2 linked regions of the Caenorhabditis elegans genome follow. The protein of the gene in region 1 interacts with the protein of each later gene in a pairwise test. Each region holds a gene or a part of one and is shown on either strand. Other genes may lie near its edges.

Region 1 (3,746 bases):
GAGGTTCGTGGAGAATGGAATTCACGTTCACTTTTTGATAAAAACATTCTTTATTGTGGAGTATTAATTTTTTGGTGTTTAGAGGCATGTTAGATACCTTCAGGCCTACGTGTATGCCCACCAACGCCCTATTTGTTTGCGTTGGGGAGTGAAATTAATGATAGCGCAAAATATAGTTTCAGGGTAATTGAAAGGCGTTCTTGAATATAAAATAAGGTAGATTAAATTAAGCAATTCTAGGATTTTGTTTTCGTACCTTGCACATATTAATTGCAAAGCTTCGAACACCTGGGACCCTAAACCTAATAGTATAATTACTGTTTTTGGTTTACTCCAAGAAAATTGATTTTCTCCCGACATCTGCTCATATTAATCCTTTTGGCACCGAGAGCTCATTTCTTCTCATTAATGGTCTCTGTTAGGAACAAAGATTAATTTTGTCTTCTTTTCTTCTGATTTCAAAAGTTTAAATACAACTTTCTTTTAACTTTTCAAAAGCAATTTTCCGGCTTCTCACTTTTTAACCCATTATTTGCATAACACAGAATCTTTAACATTTTTCAGACATGGCTTCCGAGTGTAAATCTTGCGAAAATCTCGTGGATCATATTAAGGAAGAGATGTTTCACATTGAGGAGCTAAGAAGTGAAATTGAACAACTTGAACAATATATTCGGAATCTTCAAATCAACTTTGAGAAAATTCAAACTGAAAATGAAATTTTGAAGACACAGTTGGAAGAAAAAGAAACGGAAGCTGAGGAAAGTCAACGACTTCTTGATGTAATCCATAAAGATCGTGATGAATGTATTGAAGAAAAAATGAAAGTTTCAAGATTTTATCGAAATGAAATCAAGAAGGTTATAGAAGAAAATGAAGCTCTACGCAAAGAAAACAATAATTTAAAAGATACATATAACAATGAAAATATCGCAAAGATCGGGAAAAATTTGGATAAATTACAAGAAGTTAAGACAGACATTTGCAAAAATAAAATCAAATTGAAAGAGGTTGACAGTGTAAGTTGGTTTTTGTTGTAAATAGAAATTCTATCGATAGATATTCTGGAGTTTGCCATGAAACTTTTATAGTGCCTAATTTTGGAAATTTGTCGAACGGAAGAGATATCGTAAGCAACGGCGTCTTCCATCTTCGTTGCAAATTTTTTATTTTCAAATTCCTCTATTCAATTGTTTCATTTCAGATCACAACGAATGCATCCGTAACTATAAAAAATCAGAAGATTGAATTATGTGAAATGGAGAAGAATGAGGATGAACTGTTTGAAACCTTCGAGTATATCGAGATAGACCAGTAGCATGGAATTCAAAGTTATTCGTTTTGAATTGCTAAATTCAATTTTTTTATTCAATTGTTATCAGAAGCTGTATAAATTAAAGAATTTATGATAGTTTAAAATAAGAACTGATGGCACGAGGAGAATATCATTATGACATGTCTTAAATTCAACTATTTAAATTTATTCATATTTATATTATATGTAATTCACCTAACTCTTGAATTTGATACCACATAGTTAATCAAAAAGTATATACATCTACCTATTTCAATTGTATTCGATTGTGGACAATATCGTATGACTTCCATACTGTCGAAAATGCCTACTTGGTCTTACCCGTTGTTTCACAACAGGTCTCTTTCAAGATGATGTTCCATGTCGTACTGAAAACTGATTCAATTTTTATTTTCCAGCAAAATATAAAAGTTCATGAAGCCCCAAAAAAGTCACTGATTGTCATTTATGGACAAACAATACATAACTTATGCCTTTGATTAGTTAAATTTTTATTTTGCTCGAGATACTCCCCCTTCAGATGTTTTTCCATTTTATAAATTGTATTAATCCCAGTAATTTACTATCACTCAATACTCTTTTTTTTTACAAGATATTGGTTCTTCTATTGCCCTTCTATTGCCCAATTGGCTCAAATGGCTCCTCAATACAAGGTCAGCTCATCGATTTCAGACAAATAACACAGTACAATTAGCACCTGGAGGCAGACAATGGAAGATAATACTTCCCAAAAGAAAGCTGACTTTTGGGAAAGGGGAGTACGGTAAGACAATGTTGAAACGCCTAGAAACCCGCTGGAATTATAGATATTTATTATTGTCTGAGAAGGACAGCTGTTTTTTCTCCAAGGTAGGCCTAAGGCCCGATTCTCCAAGATAATTGCTCCTGTTTTGTTTGAATTTCGTCCTTCACCGTACATAGTTTTTTTTCAAAATTAAGTTTCGTTTCCAGATGAATCCCAAAATCTCTGTCTACGAAAATTCCTCCAACACTTTGGAGCTGACCCAACTAAAAGCAGAAAACGAATTTCTGAAGCATGAGCTCGTGGAGCAACGAAACATTTTCGAGTCAATGCTCGGAAAAGAAAAGTTTGACTTGACTTTGGAGATCATGCTTTTGAAGAATCAGGTCGAGGAATCGTTCAAGGAAAAGAAGATGATTTTGGCTTTTTTTGATGAAAAGGACAGCGAGAAGGAGCAAATGGTTTTGAAATTTACCAGAGAAATTGATGAGCTCAAGGAAATCATCGAAGACAGTGTTTCGGATAAATTGGACTACAATGAAGAGACAAAAGCATGTCATTCGGAAATTGAAAGACTTGAAGATGAATTGAAAAACCGCAAGAGGGATCTTAGACGAAGTGCACGAGAAATGAAAGCAATGGAATCTCAAAAAGATTATTTGATGACAGAGTGTGTACAGCAAAAGCAGGCGATGAAACGATTGGAATCTAAAAATCAAAAGCTTTTGGATCATATGACAGCAACTAGTGAAGGATATCAAAGATTGTCAAGAAACAATGAAAATCTTCTGAAGGTTAGTTCTTGCGATCTTGTCATTTTCAATATTAAGTCAACTTTCAGACGAATGCATTGTTGAATGAAATGATCGGCAGATTCATGGCTCGAGATCAACGACAAGTTCAGGAAGAGGAAACTAGTGTTCTGAAAAAGTGATTTCTGAAGAACGTTCACAACAGCTTGCTCATCGCCCTTCATCGACTGTCAGACCAACTTCCTTTTGTAGTTTTCTAGTTCTTCCATCTCCCTGTAACTCCATCGATCATTCATGTCATCTCATCATTGTAATAATTCAATTTTCTAGAAATCCCTTTCCAGATAAATAAATGAATTAAACCGTATTTTATTGTGTATCTGAAAATGTCGAAACAAGCAGAACGTCATGTGCATTTCGATATCTAACGACTTTGATCTGCCTATTGTTGCAGGTGTTTTTTAAGAGCACCTAGATAACCAATAGGCCCACTACTCGATCGACAGAGTCAATAAAACGTATTGCAGTGGGAACAATTCTAAGAGGTCATTCACATTGTCCCCCAATCGGTGCTAACTATATATTTCAACTGCTACGTATAGCAGTAAAGAACATCGCCTTAATTTTTATCTATCATACACTGGCAGCCTGCCAAAAATGTTTTTTGGAAAATGATTAACCAAAACTTTGACTGAATTTTTTTTCAAAAATCTAAAACAAGTGTAAAGAGGCTAAATTTCTACTGAAAAGCGTTAATTCTTCTCTTCTTTTCTCCTTTTGTCTCTCCTGGAGAGCGTAAATACATAAAAAATTAATTTGAATTAATTTTTTCATTAAGGAAACCAACATCCTATACGACTGTATTCTTATTCCTGAAAAATTCACTGTCTCATCAAAAAAACCACAACTCTCAACCTCTTATCTTATCATTCTTGTT
Region 2 (3,929 bases), on another chromosome or scaffold:
TCTGGCCTTTTTTCCTGAAAATTTAACTTCAAAGAAAGATTGAAAATTCAAATTTCTCACTTCGTAGCATCCAAATCTGTACTCAATCCCAATATTTTTCACATATTCCGCCCTTTCGGCCTGTTCCTGCATAGCTTCTTCGCTTATTTTTCCAGACATCTTCAAGTAAAGTGAATTAGCGCATATTCAGAAGAAATGAACGACCGATATTGGAGTACGAAATCGTGATGACTCATTGGGTAAAGTTTGATAAATCGAAACGAAGAATCATTAAAACATTTGACTTTCATTTGAAAATGTTGGATGACAAAAGGGAATTACAATACCGAAATTATGTCACACAAAATTCGCTGAACGCGACGAGAATTTCAACGAAGTGCCTACCAGTAGCGGGTGACAATCAGCACATGGAACTGAATGTGTTATTATCTTAAATATATAGACAAAGGGCAATCGAGAAGGCGATGAATACACATTCTTGGAAGAAGTGTTAATAAAAAAATTAGGCTGATAGGAGCAAGAATATAAGCTTTACGGAAATGGGGGAGAGAGAATAAATTAATTTCTGTTGCAATTTCCAGTGACGGTGATCAGAAGTTATTGGCATGGGTAAGATAATTATTCCTCATCCTGAAATAATTAAAAATTAAACTTCTAATTATCTACGTATGGAAATAAACTCACGAGGTTGCTGAAAATAAAGTTGATAGCGGCTTCCTCGTTTTTGTCACATGCGAAATAAGCCTCCACAACCACAGCTTCTGGTGCATTAACAACTATGGCTTTGATTCTCTCAATAGCAGCAGCTTCTTCGGGACTGAGATGGATAACATGGCGACGTGGGGTGTTTCTTTCTGGCGCATTTCCTGCAGCGGCTCCGGCTCCTTGAGCTCCACCATTCAAAAGATCCATGAAAGCTTGCTGGTTGTTCTGAATAGTCTGAACAAGTCTTGGGTTGACAGCAGCCAACTGCTGAAGGACTGCGGCGAGCATTTCAGGATTTTGTTGAATCAAAGCTCTAATTTCTGCAAGCTGTGGCATGTTTGCAAGCATGTTAAGATCGTCATTGCCATCCTCATCCACGTTATCGATGTTTTGCTCGGGCCCCAAATCTGGTTCTTGGTCAGCAGCATCATCAGGAAGTCCGTTGAGAAGAAACTCGACTGCGCGGTCTGGATTCCAGAATGCTGCGCGCAGAGCAGCGATAGTTTGTTCACGGTCATAGCCCATTCCAGTGATTGCGAGAACGTTCTCTTCTTGCTCATCCGTAAGCGCCTCCGCCTCAGCAGGAGCAGCAGCTTCAGGAGCAACATCGGCAGCTGGGGCTGGGTTTGACGCAGGAGCGGCAGCTACTGGAACAGGCTCAGCAGCTGTGGCAACGGTAGATGAAGGTGCAACTTCTGTGACTTTCCTTTTGCTGAGCATCACAACAACGAACTTCGAAGAATCGAATCCGACTTCTCCGACCTTCACAGAATCGTCGAGAATCTAAAAAAAAAACATACTTTAAAGATATTATGAGCCTTCACTGTAATACCTTTCCGTTGTAGATTAATTTTTGAAGTTCTGGAGCATAATCATCCCCTTTCTCCGAAGCGACCAGAGCCTTTACTTCCGCAATCTGAAAGAAAAATAAAATACAAGTCGAACATTAACTCTAATCTTACCGTCTGATCTTCATTCAATTCCAAATTGAAGTTAACTTGTGTGAGAGTCCTGAATGTAACGGACAAAACCATCCTGCAAAAAATTGTGAAATGTTACGAATAGAGTCATGTATTGAAAGAAAAAGAAATAAATATCGATAACAGATTGATATTAATGCAAAACAAGCAGTATATATGTATAAAATAAACAAACATTTGATTATTAATAAAAGAACAAAACAAAAAAACCATTTTGAAGAACAAAATAAGTGGTAAAAAACAGAAGAGAAAATGGCTTGGCGTCTTAAAGGCGCACATGATTTGAACACTCTTCGTGGCGAGACCTGCCAGAATTGTCATTGTGTCGATTTACGGAGAATGCGTTTATTTCTTTTTTGAATGTTTTATTTTTATTTTTTAACTTCACTTGTGTTTATCGTGAACTTTTATCTTCGATTTTATCAAATTAAAACATTATTGGATTTAAGAAAATGTCTGCCGCCCATAAAAATCTTCTGGCTGTGTGGGCAAAGGAGCCAAAAGATCTTGTCGCAGTTGAGAAGGCTCTGAATGAGTTGACGGTCAGTTAATTGTTTGTCAAATTGTAAATAAATTGAATTTTCAGAAGGTTCTCAGTGCCTCCAGCGATTTGAATGATAAACAGTCTGCATTGGCTTCAAAGTAAGATTTTTCTTTGGTGTAATGAGTTTAAATTATTAATTTTCAGAGATTTGTACGAGATTTCGGTGCTCTTGGCAATTCTGAAGCACGATTTCGAAACGTTCGACGATTACATCAATCAGGTGAGTCTTTAAATAATTATTTGGAAAATTTATGTAATTTTTAACGATCTGTAAATTATTTTTAATTTTCCAGATGCATACCTACTATACAATGGCGCCAGAAAATTCTGAAAACAAGCATTTAATGACTGGACTCCATCTGATGTTCCTGCTCGCTGCCAACAGATTGTCCGACTTCCACATGCTCCTCGAACAAATTCCACAGAAAGAGCAAACATCAAACGCTTACATCTCTACGCCAGTTCGTATTGAACAGAGTCTCATGGAAGGAGCCTACAACAAGGTTGTGCTCACCGAGAAGAATATTCCAAGCCCCTTCTACACTATTTTCATTCGTATTATGCTTGACACCATCCGTCGCGAAATCGCAACATCTATCGAGAAGTCTTTCAAAGTTCTGACAGCGAAGGATGCCACGGTCATGCTTCTGTTCGACAATGACGAACAAATGAAAAAGTTTGGACAAGAGGTAATAATGATTTTTAAAGCTACAAGTATTAAAAAATATATTTATTTACAGAGAAAATGGCATTTGGATGGAGAGCGTTACGTTTTCGAAATTGAGGTGGCTCAGGAGAAGCCTGTGAATTTGGATACAGTGCGAGTCGCAACTCAAACCCTCTTCTACGCCAAGCAACTCGAACAAATCGTTTAACCGGTGTCTTTCAAGAACTCAAGCATTGTATTTGTAAACTGATTTTAATTTATTCGCGTCTTTTTCTCGGTACTGTAAGAAAATGAACTTTCCGATGCATTGTTTTAGCAAGTTTTAATTACATCTGAAAATTTTATTTGCACAAAGATTTCTGGAATGAACAAGAACATCTATCAATATGATATACCAAAAAAAGAAGTTGGAAAAATTCGAGAAAAAATACATAGAGGGACAAAATACAGTGAATTCGAGTGTCTATTGTTTTCAACAATATATACAGCTAGATGAGTAAAAAAAAAGGACGAAAGATTTAGTAGATTCTGAGAGACAGATAGATAAAGCGTGCCAACTTGGTTGACTCCTTTCCCGTATTTTCTGATTACCACACAACACAGCGTTTCGTTGGATTCATCGGAGATCCAGCTGGACATTTGAAAGCCTCGGCAAATTCTGGCTGATTTGTTAGAACCGTGTTCACTCTGAAAAAATTATAAATAATTGTTGCCAAAAAAGTTGAATGAACGATGATGTGTATTGCGTAACATATTTTTGAATATCTTGTAGCGAAAACTACATGTAAATAGTAAATCGTCTACTTATGGAAATAAACTCACGAGGTAAATCTTTAAATGACTACTGTAGTGGTTTCGATTGTTAAACGAAAAATAAATAAATTTCCGAGCCCGTAAATCGACACTACAGTAGCCCTCTAAAAAGTTACTGTAGTTTTCGCTACGAGATATTTTGCGCGTCAAATATGTTATGTAATACGCATTCTCGGAATTTAGTGTTTCAGTAATACCTTGCAGTTTCTGGTGAGTGAGG

What was found.
Region 2: the proteins of C17E4.2 (region 1) and rad-23 interact in a two-hybrid assay, tested with the Caenorhabditis elegans proteins (2 studies listed by BioGRID).

Annotation. Positions count from the first base shown.
Region 1 is NC_003279.8:9,410,048-9,413,793, forward strand, and holds C17E4.2 (Cilia- and flagella-associated protein 157), read left to right. Parts: upstream 1-2,258; 5' UTR 2,259-2,266; coding exon 2,267-2,851; intron 2,852-2,898; coding exon 2,899-2,991; 3' UTR 2,992-3,175; downstream 3,176-3,746. Other genes in the region: C17E4.1 (DUF7774 domain-containing protein), read right to left, coding at 1-47; C17E4.19 (uncharacterized protein), read left to right, coding at 567-1,019, 1,205-1,318.
Region 2 is NC_003280.10:11,650,990-11,654,918, forward strand, and holds rad-23 (UV excision repair protein RAD23), read right to left. Parts: upstream 1,741-3,929; 5' UTR 1,740-1,740; coding exon 1,668-1,739; intron 1,622-1,667; coding exon 1,538-1,621; intron 1,489-1,537; coding exon 685-1,488; intron 631-684; coding exon 619-630; 3' UTR 273-618; downstream 1-272. Other genes in the region: coa-7 (Cytochrome c oxidase assembly factor 7 homolog), read right to left, coding at 1-14, 61-159; rpn-12 (26S proteasome non-ATPase regulatory subunit 8), read left to right, coding at 2,138-2,227, 2,272-2,327, 2,374-2,449, 2,523-2,918, 2,970-3,104; nep-1 (Neprilysin-1), read right to left, coding at 3,484-3,583, 3,907-3,929.